2 linked regions of the Elephas maximus indicus genome follow. The protein of the gene in region 1 interacts with the protein of each later gene in a biochemical or structural test. Links are inferred from orthologs where the notes say so. Each region holds a gene or a part of one and is shown on either strand. Other genes may lie near its edges.

What was found.
Region 2: the proteins of SH2D1B (region 1) and SLAMF1 interact in a test that uses a peptide from one of them, tested with the Homo sapiens proteins (2 studies listed by BioGRID). The link is inferred for Elephas maximus indicus from reciprocal best matches to the Homo sapiens genes SH2D1B and SLAMF1.

The regions. Positions count from the first base shown.
Region 1 is NC_064821.1:201,677,128-201,684,697, reverse strand, and holds the start of SH2D1B (SH2 domain-containing protein 1B), read left to right. Parts: upstream 1-4,339; 5' UTR 4,340-4,411; coding exon 4,412-4,545; intron 4,546-7,570. UniProt on the Homo sapiens protein: Cytoplasmic adapter regulating receptors of the signaling lymphocytic activation molecule (SLAM) family such as CD84, SLAMF1, LY9 and CD244. In SLAM signaling seems to cooperate with SH2D1A/SAP.
Region 2 is NC_064821.1:199,406,578-199,414,160, forward strand, and holds the start of SLAMF1 (signaling lymphocytic activation molecule), read right to left. Parts: upstream 3,041-7,583; 5' UTR 2,936-3,040; coding exon 2,860-2,935; intron 2,392-2,859; exon of another isoform or gene 2,224-2,391; intron 1-2,223.

The sequences.
Region 1 (7,570 bases):
AGGCTTGGATTTTTTTCTTCAGTTCTTTCAGCCTGAGAAACGCCGAGCATGTTCTTCCCATTTGGTTTTCTATCTCCAACTCTTTGCACATGGCATTATAATACTTTGTCTTCTCGAGCCACCCTTTGAAATCTTCTGTTCAGTTATTTTACTTCATCATTTCTTCCTTTTGCTTTAGCTGCTCGATGTTCGTGAGCAAGTTTCAGAGTCTCCTCTGACATCCATCTTGGTCTTTTCTTTATTTATATCTGTATACCCCCCCAACCTTAATCAGGATTCTGCTATAAATTCCTTGATCAAAATGTTCAGTAATGGTAGCTGAGCACCATCCAGTTCTTCTGGTTTCATGGCAAAGGAGGCAGTTGTTCTTGGGGGCAATTAGCCACACATTCCATATCTTCCTCCTAATCCTGACTGTCCTCCTTTCTCTGTTGCTCCACATGAATAGAGACCAATAGAACTATCTATATGGAATCAGACAGAACTATCTATATGGGATCAAATTGATAACAGCAACTGGAAAGATTAAATAGGAATCTTAGGAGTCCGTGAATTTACATTAATGAGGGAGGAACAATTCAGAAAAGGAGGGTGAGAATGGTTGCACAACTGGAAGAATGTAATCAGTGTCATTGAATTGTACATGTAGAAACTGTTGAATTGGTGTGTATTTTGCTGTGTATGTTCTCAACAATAACAACAAAATAAATAAAATTTAAAAAGATACTACCTTTTGCATAAGTCATTTTGTGCTGCTTCTGCCTGTATAATTTTGTGACAGATTTCTAGAACTGAGATTGTTCATGTGAATGTACATGTAACTTTTCCAAGCTCCCTTTGCTGGCGTTGTAATCACTTTGTAGTCTAACCAAAGATCTATGAGAGATCCTATTTCACTATAGCATAAGCAACCCCGTCTGTTGTTAAACTTCTGATTTTCATTAATGGATAGATGAGAGATGTTATCTCGATATGGATTTAATTTTCCATTTCTTTTAATATGAGTGCATATAAGGGTACTGGGTTTTGAAATAGGAAAAAAGTAAGCAAAGCCCTGGGATGACCAAGAGCCTGAGCATGCACCCAATTATTTCCTACCAAGGAGTTTCTGGGTGATGCAAATGGTTAATGCGCTCAGCTCCTAACTGAAAAGTTGGAAGTTCAAGTCCACCCACAGGTGCCTGGGAAGAAAAGCCTGGTGATTTACTCCCAAAAACAAATCAGCCGTTGAAAATCCTATAGAGCACAATTCTACTCTGACACACATGGGGTTGCCATGAGTTGGAATCAATTTGATGGCAGTGGGTTTGTTTTGTTATGTCAAAAAGCATCCTTACAGCAAGCTTGGTACCCAATTTTGTCTTCCAACAGTAATAATTCTATCCTCAATTGCTATAATTCCTCTGGAATTAAGTTAAGACTTGCCCAAGACCACACAAGTAACAAGAAGATAAACTTGGATTTGAAAGCCTATCTCTCTGATATCAGGTTCCCTGGTTAGTGAAACTCCACTACACCAACAGCAGAACAGTGAGGTTTCCAAGGAAGAACAAAGATCTGCAACAAGGACGTTTCCTGGAAGGACAGCTAGTAGGCAGAAGAGCAAGATGAAATAACTTTCTGGAAAGTGACTTCACTAGGATTGGTGTCATCCAGTGTGGTAACTCATAAAGTCACCCGGCTGGGGTGCGGAGGGCGGATGTCAAACCTCCCCAGCTCCCAGTGGGTGGAGGGGCCCAGTCCCACCCCGCCCCGATGCAGGGCCAAGTTCTGAGCTGCCTGGCCCTGCCCCTTCCAGTCCTGCAGCCCCACAGCTCCCTGCAAATCTCTTCCTTTCTCTCACTGGTCAAGGCAGAGACCCTGACTGGCAGTTGAGGTGGGGGGTAGTGCTGAGTTACCACAGTGGGGGATGGGTGACACCATCTCTACTGATGCCATGCCTTGGCAGCCTCTCTCCGGTCTGCCTGCCGCTGCCACCACCATGGACCCTGCGGTCGTTTGTTGTCAGCCCCTCTGATAGTATCTGGGTCAAGACTACACAGAGCTCTTGAGAAGGAGAAATAAGGATGAGTCATGAGCACATGTTTATAGATATGTACTTGAGATATATAGTGATTCCCACAGATATTTGGTGAGGCAGCTGGATAAAGGGAAAATGATTCACTTAAACAGTAGTTTATACAGATGGACATCATGTGATGGTAACTGTGAGAGCTAAGTAAATGCAATCAAATTAAAAAATTGGATTATAGGTATGATTGCATGGCTTATTTTATCTGAAATTAATGCTACATCAGGTGGTCTGGTTGCGCAAAGAGGCTTTGGGAATTACTCTCAGGGCTAACTCTCACTCTCAGAAAACAAAAGCCATGTGACTACCTGCCTTTCCCAAGAGTATCCACTGATCAAGATGGAAAAGTCTCAGCAGCCTAAAAAAAAAAAAAAAAAGGATTTTCTCATCAGCACTACGTGCCCTGGTCTAAACGGGGTGTCTCTGGCTGGATAGTTTTTTTTTTTTTTGGTCTTTCTTCATGGGGACAGATCACTGCTGTCCCCCAGAATGGGAACTCCATAGGAACTGGGGGTTTCCAAACCCAAGCCCAATATCTTCTTTTCTTCCACCTGGAAGAAGCATTCCTGCGGTAAGTTTTCGTACCCAGTTATCCCTTCCACTTGTACCAGTCACTCCCCCAAAAGGCACAATGCCTGAGGATGTTAAAAATAGCCTTTTTCCCTCGGTGGCTAGGAGCCTTAGTCACGAAATGGACTGTCCTTCCCAGTGGTGTCCAGTTGATTTCTCTTCGCATTGATGTCTTCTATTTTTCATGTAATTTGACCCATGGAAATGTCATCCTTTCAATTTTCCCATTGTGTCTGGACAAATCTGAATTCATTCAGCATTCAAATACCTTTAAAAAAATTTCTTTTATTGTGCTTTAAGTGAAAGTTTACAGTTGAAGTTAGTTTCTCATACAAAAATTTATACACACATTGTTATGTGACCCTAGTTGCTCTCCCTATAATATGATAGAACACTCCTTCTTTCCACACCAGGTTTCCTGTGTCCATTCAACCAGCTTCTGTCCCCTTTGGCCTTATTATCTCACCTCCAGACAGGAGCTGCCCATTTAGTCTCATGTGTCTACTTGAGCTAAGAAGCACTCTCTTCATGAGTATTATTTTATGTCTTATAGTCCAGTCTATTCTTTGTCTGAAGAGTTGGCTTTGGGAATGGTTTCAGTTCTGGATTAACAGAGAGTCCAGGGTCCATGTCTTCTTCCAGAGTCCCTCTAGTCTCAGTCAGACCATTAAGTCTGGTCTTCTTAATAGAATTTGAGTTGTGCACCCCACTTTTCTCCTGCTCTGTCAGAGACTCTCTGTTGTGTTCCCTGTCAGGGCAGTCATTGGTGGTAGCCAGGCACCATCTAGTTCTTCTGGTCTCAGCCGATGGAGTCTCCGGTTTATGTGGCCCCTTTTGTCTCTTGGGCTAATATTTTCCTTGTGTTTTTTGTGTTTTTCATTCTCCTTTGCTCCAGGTGGGTCAGGACCAATTGACCTATCTTAGGCAGCCGCTCCCTAGCTTTTAAGTCTCTAGATGCCAGTCACCAAAATAGGATGCAGAACATTTTCTTAATAACCTTTGTTATGCCAATTGACCTAGATGTCCTCTGAAACCATGGTCCCCCAGACCCCTGTCCCTGCTACTCTGTCCCTCAAAGTGTTTGGTTGTGTTCAGGAAACTTCTCAGCTTTTGGTTTAGTCCGGTTGTGCTAACTTCCCCTGTATTGTGTATTGTCCTTCCTTTCACCTAAAATAATTCTTATCTACTATCTAACTCATGAATACCTTTCACCCTCCCTCTCCTTCCTCCCCACCCTCATAACAGCATCCAAATACTTTTTGAGCACCCATTCTGGGCTAAGCATGGCTAATCATAGGTAGCTTCAGCAGAAAATGGGCAGCTGTTATAGCAAAAGCGGTGGTGCTCTCTCAGGAGAGGATCCTAGCAGCCAGAGGAGGCAAAGCCTAGCAATATAGGGTGATACACAAGGCTGCAGCCCAGTTCTGGGAAGCTTAACTTCAGCATTGCAGCCCCAGCCATTGAACATCACTGTTTCCACTATGTGCTAGAAAGTGTTCCCATCCGATTCTATGAGTCAAAGAAACTTACACTCAAGCCTTTTATATACTGAAATGGCTTGGTCACTTCATCACCCCCGCCCCTCTCACTTCCTGAAGCTGGCTGAGTCTCACAGAGAAACTTCATCTCACTCCCACTGGCCAGAAAAGGAAGAAGTGTTTCCATAGTTACGTCAGGCCAGCTGCCTCCACTTCCCTCCTTAGAGCTGGCCCTCGAATTGGGGCTGGATTTCAGGCCGACAAGGTGGCCTGTGATACGACGGGGCTCTCCATGGATCTACCTTACTACCACGGCCCCTTGACCAAGAGAGACTGTGAGATCTTGCTGCTCAGGGAAGGAGTAGATGGCAACTTTCTGTTGAGGGACAGCGAGTCGGTGCCAGGAGCGCTGTGCCTCTGTGTCTCGTGAGTAACCTTACAGTCAAATACTACATCAAATGTAGTGATGGCAACCAAATATAAAAGGAATTGCATTTCACTCTGACTTTGCAACCCAAATGAGTCGAGTGAGGACTGGGAGAGGTTGGAAAGAAGGCGTCTGTCCCTGCTCTTCCATCTGCCCTCTCTCTCCCTGATGTAAATGCCACCTAAGCAGAGCCTCTGGGTGAAGGAGAGGGCTGCAGGAAGCATGGGAGGTGAGGGGGAGTGGGGAGAAGGTAGAAAAGTGAGAAAGATTCTCTTCTCTAGAAGTCTGTTTATTTGGTATGGAATAGGTTGGGCACCCTTTTGAGATTTCAATCTGAGAGACCAAGTTTTTACATGTATTCTGCTGCCTCTACTTGGAATACTTAAATTATAATAATATTTCACAATTTTTATTCAGATTAGTAAAGGACTTCAACAAGTGTCATTTCCTTGTACACTTCTTGTGTACATAAGCGGCCACCATTTTGTATGTAAGGAAACAGAGACCTGAATGTCTCAAATGACTTGCTTGTGTTAAAACTCATCTGGTGTTTCCAAAAAGTTTGAATTGAGTAAGGAATTCCAGCCCAGGGTATCAGAGCTACCTTGCTGAGGGAACTTGTTTATGCTCAGTTTAAAAAAGCAATCCCAAACAGTTATCAGTAGACACCTCCTATCTTTGTGTGCTCTTCTCTTTGTAGAGTCCACTGACACTTTTCTTCTATTAAAGGAATTAAAACCCAGGTGTCTCTATGGGAGCTACTCAGAAAAAAGTGATTGTCATTACTGTCTTGACAACAAGGAGTTTTTGGATTTCTCCTCACTTATCGACTATCTTGTTATCTGACATTTTGCATTTATGACAACAGGAAAAAATCGACTATCCTACTATTTTACCCATTAACAACGTATGTTGGGTAGTAATAATGCTGGAGTGTGAGGCAAGAGTAATGCTGGCTTTTATGGTTAAGGTTATGTGTCCGCTTGACTGGGCCATGATACTCAGTGGGTTGGCAGTTATATAATGACGTAATCTGGCAGTTATGTTGTGATGTAATCATTCTCGATTTTGCCATCGGATGTGGACATCCTCCTTTTTCGTGTAACACTGATTTCACATAATGACCTGGTCTTTGGAACCTAACCATGTCGATAAGAAAGGAGAGGGTGTATTAACAGATAGAATCCAGTAGCCCATTAAAGGAGAAAACACACTATGACCAAGTGTGGTCCAATCCATCAAAGATGAATTGATTCCATATTAGGAAAATGATGCATCTAATTAAGGTGCCACAGTGGCACAGTGGTTAAAACACTTGGCTCCTAACTGAAAGTTCAGTGGTTTGAACTCACCAGCTGCTCCACAGGAGAAATATGTGGCAGTATGGTTCTATAAAGATATACAGCCTTGGAAATTCTACGAGGCAGTTCTGCTATGGCCTATAGTGTCATTATGAGTCAGAATCAACTCCACAGCAGTGGGTCAGGTCAAGTCATGCATTTAATTAATTTGAGTTATTGATTAATTATTAACTTAATTGATTAAATTAAACATATTGACATGAATAGGTCAATAGTTACAAATGATATGACTCACTCAAATTTGCTTAAAATGTATTAGATAAAATTCAGATTAAACATCCTATTTACATTAGCAAAAATAGTAACATGCAGGAATAAATGTACTATGACATGTGTAAGACTGACTTAAATATCTACTGGGAAGCTTACAAAAAATCTTGAATGAATGGAAGGTCTCAAGTTTGGAAGCTTGTCTGTTCACCTTAAATTAATCTAAAATATTCCATATGTTTCCAGGAGAAAAGACAGATTTTTTTAAAAATTTGCTGCAAGGACAGTGAAGTTGACCTAGGTTAGGGGTAGAACATGGAACCTGCTGGAATAGCCAAAGATTCTTTAATTTAAAAAAGAAAGACTAGCTCTACCAAATATTAAAATATTAATACATTATAAAACTATAGTAATTACTACAGAAATTGAAAGAGTTTGGTACTGACAGATCAATAAAATAGAATATAGAATCCAGAAACAAGGTCAAGTACACATGGAATTTAGCATTTGCTAAAAAGAGTGTTTCGAATCAAAGAGGAAAAGATGAATGATGACTAATGGGCACTTGACTAGTCACTTAGAAAAAAGTAAACCTAGATCCCTTAAAATGAAATTAATTCAAAATGGTTCTAATACTTAACTTATTTTTTAAAAAATGAAATCACAAATATTAAAACACAAATTATTAAAAAAAAAAAAGTCCTGGAATTGAGAAAGCCTTTCTAAGCAAAAAAATGAGATGCAGAAACCATAAAAGAATGACAAACGTGACCATAGTAAAAAAAAAAAAAACTTAAAAGACTATTGACAAAAAAAATAATAATTTTTATTAACATATAAAGAACTTTAAAAAAATCAATAGAAAAATAGAAAGCATACGAGCAGGAGATTCTCAGAAAAGAAAGATATGGAAAAATGCTACAGCTCACTCATAATTAAAGAAATACAAGTTAAAACAACACCAAAAAAAAAAAAAAATCCAAACCCATTGCCGTAGAGTCGATTCCGACTCATAGAGTACCTATAGGACAGAGTAGAACTGCCCCACAGGGTTTCCAAGGAGTAGCTGGTGAATTTGAACTGCTGATGTTTTGGTTAGCACCTGAGTTCTTAACCACTGCACCACCAGGCCCCTAAGAATAGTAAGATGCCATTTTTTCCTATTCAATGGACAAGAATTCAAACTGTGAAAATGCCTAGAGGAATTAGAGTGTTGGGAAACAGTCTTGCACACTTTGATACAACCTGTTTGAATCATAAAAAAACTCATTGCCATCGAGTCGATTGTGACTCATGGTGACCCAATAGGACAAAGTAGAAAAGCCGTGAAGTGACTGGTGGGTTCAAAATGCTGACCTTTAGGTTAGCAGCTCAGCACTTAACCATTGCACCGCCAGGCCTTCTTTGAATGGTAATGTGGCCAAGATATAAAATGCATGGATATAGCTTTTGA
Region 2 (7,583 bases), about 2.3 Mb from region 1:
AACGCTCACAAAACTTTACCTCTGCATTTGTGCCTTCATCTAGAATACTATTTTTTCAAATACCACAAAAATTCAACCCAATAGACATATATATTTGGAAGGACACACAAGAACCTGGTAACAGTGTATGCCTTCAGGAAGAGGGATGGGAGGGAGAGTAAGTCTTTACTTCACACCTTTTTGAATTGTTTAGGTTTTACAGATATTTGTGTGATACTCTCCCAATAAATAAACCACTTAACAGAAAATTTAAGTGAAAAATTGCATGACAAAAAAAGTTTCTATCCACTTTCCGAATTCCAGATCAAATCCTTCTAAATTTTATCCAAGTCTCTCATATTTTAAAAATTCTATGGCATGTTCCATATACTTCAATTATAGTAGTATATTCTAATTTTTACTAAGGGATATAGGTACAGATTGAAGCCTCCCTTCACCAAATATAAACTCATTCAGTTTCCTTCGTTGAGACAGTAGTCTCTGGAGTCAAGCTATGTGACAGTGGAGAAATCACTAGACCCACTCTGGGCCTCTTTTTTTATTTATAAAATGTTAATGCTAGTAGTCACAGTACATATCCTATAGGGTTGGTGTAAGAATTAAATGAATAATACACATAAAGAAGTTGAAGCAGTGCCTGGCATACAGTAAGCATGCAATACATGCTACTATTTTCATTCAACAAATATTTATGGAAAAACTCTCAGGACCAGGCACTGTGTCAAGTGCTGGGCAGAGGTTGTGGTTGTTTGCTTTATTTCTCCCACACCTTACATCATGTGTCCTCAATAGATAGTGGCTGAATGGAATCATTCAAATTATTTTGTGGATGAAACCAAATAGCCCCGATGTTCTGATTTCTAGCCAAGAGCTGGAGATGCCAAAAGTGATGGCTTCATATTACCGTATGCAACTTTCAAGAGATGGAAGCACTAAGTCTACGTCTTGGGATAGAATGGGTCAGTGAACAGACAAATTTGGGCCAAGTATAGCACCCACCTACTTGTCCCTCACCTCTCCCCTAGTGTGTGTGAAGAGGCTGGGGAAGGCATGCCTGAAAAAATAAAAGAGCTCCCTGGGTGAAATGGAAAACCCACTTATTTGGGGATGGGTCAGTAGACTTTTTAATTTTTAGAATTCTGCCTGGAAGGTGAGCTGAGTTGAGATGGGAAGGAGAGTGGGTATGGATTTTACAAGAAATCAGTCTTCTTGGTTGAGTAAATCTGTCATGGCTGACCTATCTCATGTGCAAAGCATTTCCGCCTGGGTTTTATTGGGGTTTCACAAAATGGTGTGTATTTAAAAATAAAAATACTGAAAAAAATTTTGTACATATTTCGGAGAAGACAGAATGCAAAGAAGGGAGTAGCTGCTAATTGGGTGGAGGCTCCTATCAGGCTGGGCTGTTTTCTCACTAACCATTGACTCCCAAAGTGCGCAGTGAAGCAGCTGTCAGCAGAACCTGGAGGTGCCATGGGCTAGACTGATCAGGAGCCAAACAAGCCCAGAGATGAAAAAGCCCAGGCAACACTTCAACCCAGTCACTCCTGGTAGTCACCAACAAGTACTCCAAGAAAGATGGTCCACCAAGGAAGACTTGGCTCTCCTATGACAACTTTAAGTGGCTCATTTTGGCTTTCTGAGTCCTGAGTTCCATTCTTCCTCTCCTAGGCCTCAGGAAGTAAGAGCCTTGGGGTCTGCCTGATTCTGAGGTAAAGTGAGGCATAGCAAAGGCTCAGGCACCCTCTGGGCCTCCTCATCTGGGAGTCTGGCAAGAGAGAGTCCACATCCGCAGCTCCCACACATCCCTGGCATATCCCGGGGCTTTTCCTAGAAAAGTCCATGATGGATTTGCCATCTTGAAAACCCCAAGGCCAAAACACCCTGGGTGTCAGGATTTCCCCCCTTCCCTGATGCCGCTTCTACTCCAGGTTGTCTCCTACACTCTAACCAAAGCCCCAAGGCATTTAAGCAGAAAGGAATTGATGCTCACCCCCTACTCACACAGCCAGCCCAAGGTGCACTTCTAGCTTCACTTTTTCCCCCTCAAGTACCGTTTCTCATAACCCTGATAATACTGAATGGAGAACCCTAGCTTACCTTTGGAGGAAGACAGGCAAAAGACAAGAGCAGGACCCAGCTCCAAATGCTCTGCTATTTATATGGTCCAGCTGCTGGAGCTGCACTGACCCTGAAGGCTCCAGATTTGCATTTCCCACTTACCATAATTAGCCCTGGGCTCCAGAAATCCTGGCTTCTCCCCTCCTTTCTACCATGGAAACTTCTCTTCTAGGAAATAGCCATCAGTGACCACACTGTGGCCACAGTCTGTTCTTAGCTGAAGACCTGAGGTTTTCACTTCTACCTCTCCTTCCCGCTCTGACCCCCTCCTTCTTGTTGGACCATGTTCCTGGTTTGTCTGCTAGTGTGTGTGCAGCATCTCCTTCAGGGCAGAGATATAGGATTAATCTCTCAGAGCTTTGCCCCTCCAGCTTAGTTTCTCTAGCCTGGGTCTTTGCCAGAATGGTAACCCATGCAAAACCAACCACTCAACCAAGATTTCAACCAGAACCTCTCGCCCGGAAAGGCTGGTCTACAATGTGACCAGTACCTTTGGATTAGAGCTCCCAGTTTCCCTGGGAACTAGGATTGGTGAGGCTGAGCCTTAGTAGGAGCCCAGGAACTCATAATGTTCCTTCCTTCCTTTTTCAAAGATGCTGGAGAACTCAGAGCCAGTCCCTAAGGAAGAGAGAGCCGGCCACAGCCCCCAGCCCCTGCATCTTTTCTCTATCCACAGGGCTGTGCTGATTCCTAGCAGGTCATCATAGTATCCAAAACCTCAAACAGATGAACACTCACCTGTTCCGCAGCTCAGCTCAGAAGCCAGAGAAAGCAATAGCAGGAGGTTCAACGAGAGGAGCCCCTTGGGATCCATCAGTCAGGAAGGAGAGAAAAGGGAGCTTGCCAGGAGTCCGGCAGCTGCTTACAGACACACCAGGGCAGAAGATCTACATGTCAGACAGCGCTGCCTCTGCCAGCAAGGCTATGCAGCAGCTTCCTGTCTCAGAGGGACTTTTTCTGCCTGTGTATTGAGGATTGCTCATCTCTCTTTAGACTTTAAATCACTTTGTTGTTCTCAAGAAGTACGAGTCAGGCGCTTAGACTACTGGAGCCAGGAAGGGGGCTATGCCGAGTCATCTCAACCAAACCCCAGCTTTTGGTAGAAATATACACCCCTTGCATTTTCTTAGCTGTTTCTTGGAAAGTGGTGTCACAGTTCTCTGGGAAGTTCTATCTGCTAACTTTTCTTTGAGTGCAAAGAAAGTCTTCTTTGTGCTCAGGTCTATAGTGAATGTGGGGTTTTGTCAGACCCATTTCCAAATTTGGATGAGTTAGTTCAAAGTCCAACTTGGATGGCTGAACTTGGATGAGCGTGGGACCCTTACTTCTCATTTGCCCCATAATTTTGCAGAACAACTCTAAATGTAGGTACCTGGTGCCACAGTCAGGAGTCACTGGGTGGTGCAAATAGTTAAGTGGTCAGCTACTAACCATAAGACTGATGATTCAAATCCACCCATAGGCACCTCAAAAGAAAGGCCTGGCCATCTGCTTCTGAAAGGTCACAGCCTTGGAAATCCTGTAGACTGCAGTTCTACTCTGAAACACATGGGGTCACCACGAGTTGGAAGCGACTTGACAGCAATTGGTTTAGTTGTTTTTTTTTTTTTTTTTGGTTTTGGTGCCACAATCACAGGTGGGCAAGTGCGGATCACTTGGCAAAAACTCATCTTCTCTGCTGGGTACAATGTGGTAAATCTTAGTGAGCTCCAAGCTGTGGTTGAAGGAGTCACCTTTATTTTAGAACTTGTGTCTGCTGAGGAGAGGGGGCTAGAATTGCCAGAAGAAAGACCCTGTGCTTTTTCATGAGTCAAGCTGTAAGAGTGGGACAAAGGAAGGTTCTACTCCCAGTGCTCACGAAGAAGGCCTTGTAAGGCAAGGCTAGTGTTTCAGAAAAGTTGATTTCAATAGGGCAGAGACACTTTCTGATAGGCCTCTAAGGGGTCCAGGTGATAAGAGCTGATGATATTGTGAACTTGCTATTTATCCTGTTTTCTCCCTTCTATCTCCCAGTACCCAACCATCCCCTACCACGCCACTACCCAGTGGTGTGCTGGAGCCAGCATTACCGACTAATGAGGTACAATTGCTAAATTTTCAGGAATCTGTGAGCTGGTTGGTAAAAAATGGTCATTATCAAAAATTAAATTATATAAACTTGTGGTTAAATAAATTATATTAAAAATAAAGGGAATAAAAACTCAAAATTATTTTGTTGTTTTTAGGTGCCATCGAGTTGGTTCTGACTTCAAGTGACCCTATGTATAACAAAATGAAACCTTGCCCAGTCCTGTGCCATTCTCACAATCATTGCTATGTTTGAGCCCACTGTTGTAGCTACTGTGTCAGTCTATATCATTGAGGGTCTTCCTCTTTTTTGCTAACCCTCTACCCTACCAAGCATGATGTCTTTCTCCAGGGACTGGTCCCTCCTGATAACATCTCCAAAGTACATGAGATGAAATCCCACCACCCTCCCTTCCAAGGAGAACTCTGGCTGTACTTCTTCGCAGCCATACTTGTTTGTTCTTCTGGTAGTTCATGGCATATTCAATATTCTTGCCAACACCATAATTCAAAGGCATCAATTCTTCTTCAGTCTTCATTATTCACTGTCCAGCTTTCCCACTCATACGAGGAGATTGAAAATATCAAGGCTTGGATCAGAAACACCGTAGTGCTCAGAGTGACATCTTTGTTTTTCAACACTTTGAAGAGGTCTTTTGCAACAGATTTGCCCAATGCAATACATTGTTTGACTTCTTGACTCCTGCTTCCATGGGCATTGATTGTGGATTCCAGTAAAATGAAACCCTTGACAACTTCAATATTTCTTCCATTTGTCATGATGTTGCTTCTTGGTCCAGTTGTGAGGTTTTTTTGTTTTCTTTATGTTGAGGCATAATCCATATTGAAAGCTGTATTCTCTGATCTTCATCAGTAAGTGCTTCAAGTCCTCTTCACTTTTAGCAAGCAAGGTTGTGTCATCTGTATATTGCAGGTTGTTAATAAGTCTTCCACCAATTCTGATGCTACATTCTTCTTCGTTAACCCAGATTTTACTATTATCTATGCCCCTGAGGTTATTTACACCTATCACGGTGCAAATACTATGCCATGGGTGCTGTTGGACCTCTCTCCCCAACTGCACATTCTAAGGCATCATGTTGGTAGCTTGAACTCAGCTGGTGGGAGTGTTTATGAAGCATGTTACTGCAACACTGGAAGCTTTGCCACCGGTACTTCAAATATCAGCAGGTCCACCCTTTAGTGCACAGGTTTCAGCAGAGCTTCCAGACTAAGACAGGCTGGGAAGAAGGACCTGGCAGTCTATTTCTGAAAGAATTGGCCAGAGAAAACCTTATGAATAGCAGCAAAACACTGTCTGATATAGTGCCAGGAGATGAGCCCCTCAGGTTGGAAGGCACTCAAAAGATGACTGGGAAAGAGCTGTGTCCTCAAAGTAGAGTCAATCTTAAGGATGTAGATGGAGTCAAGCTTTCAGAACCTTCTTTTGCTGATGTGGTATGACTCAAAATGAGAAGGAACAACTGCAAACGTCCATTAATAATTGGAACATGGAATGTAGAAAGTATGAATCTAGGAAAATTGGAAGTCATCAAAAATGGAACACATAAACATTGATATCCTAGGCATTAGTGAGCTGAAATGGACTGGTATTGGCCATTTTGAGTTAGACAATCATATGGTCTGCTATGATGGGAATGAAAATTGAAGAGAAATGGCATCACATTCATTGTCAAAAAGAGCATTTCAAGATCTATCCTGAAGTATAACGCTGACATTGATAGGATAATATCCATACGCCTCCAAGGAAGATCAGTTAATATGACTATTATTCAAATTTACCCACCAACCACCAATGCCAAAGATGAGGAAATTGAAGATTTTTACCAATTTCTGTAGTCTGAAGTTGATCAAACATGCAGTTAAGATGCATTGATAATTACTGGTGATAGGAATGTGAAAATTGGAAGCAAAGAAGGATCAGTAATTGAAAACATGGTCTAGGTGCTAGAAATGACGCCAGAGATGACACAATAGAATTTTGCAAGACCAACAACTTCTTCATTGCAAATACCTTTTTTCAACAACATAAACAGAAACTGTACACATGAATCTCACTGGGTGTGTCATGGATTGAATTGTGTCCCCCCCAAATATCTGTCAACTTGGCTAGGCCATAATTCCAAGTATTGTGTGATTGTCTACCATTTTGTCATCTGATGTGATTTTCCTGTATGTTGTAAATCCTACCTCTATGATGTTAATGAAGCAGGATTAGAGGCAGTTATGTTAATGACGCAGGGTTCAATCTACAAGGTTATGTTGCATCTTAAGTCAATCTCTTTTAAGATAAAAAAGAGGGAAGCAAGCGGGGGCAAGGGGGACCTCATTAGGACCAAGCAAGAAGAGGCAGAAGTGAGCGTCCTTTGGACCCTGGGTCCCTGTGCTGAAAAGCTTCTAGACCAGGGGAAGATTAGTGACAAGGACGTTCCTCCAGAGCCAACAGAGAGAAAAAGCCCTCTCCTGGAGCTGGCGCCCTGAATTCAGACTTCTATCCTGCTAGATCGTGAGAGAATAAATCTCTGTTAAAGCCATTCACTTGTGGCATTTCTGTTACGGCAGCACTAGATAACCAAGGCAGGATGGAAAACACAGGTATCAAATAGACTACACCTGTGGAAAGACACGATGGAGAATCTCAATATCATCAGTCAGAACGAGGCCAGGGACTGAATATGCAACAGATCATCAATTGCTCATACGCAAGTTCCAGTTGAAGCTGAAGAAAATTAAAACAGGTTCTTGAGCACCAAAATGCTACCTCGAGTATATCTCACAGGAATTTGGAGACCATCTCAAGAACAGATTTGAAGCATTGAACACTAATGACTGAGGACCAGACGAGTTGTGGGAAGATATCAAGGACATGATAAGTAAAGAAAGCATAAGGTCATTAAAAAGACATGAAAGAAAAGAAATGGATATGAGAAGAGACTCTGAAACTTGCGCTTAACATAGAGTAGCTAAAGCAGATGAAAGAAATGATGAAGTAAAAGAGCTGAACAGAAGATTTCAAAGGGCAGCTCAAGAAGACAAAGTAAAATATTACAATGAAATGTGCAAAGACCTGGAGTTAGAAAACTAAAAGGGAAGAACATGCTCATCATTTCTCGAGCTGAAAGAACTGAAGAGAAAATTCAAGTCTCGAGCTGCAATTTGGAAAGTTTCTATGGGCAAAATATTAAACAATGCAGGAAGCATCAAAAGCAGATAGAAGGAATACACAGTAACTGTAACAAAAAGAACTGGTCGATGTTCAACCATTCCAGGAGGTGGCATATGATCAAAGACTGATGGTATTTAGGAAAGAAGCCCAAGCTGCACTGAAGGCATTGGTGAAAAACAATGCTCCAGGAATTGATGGAATATCAATT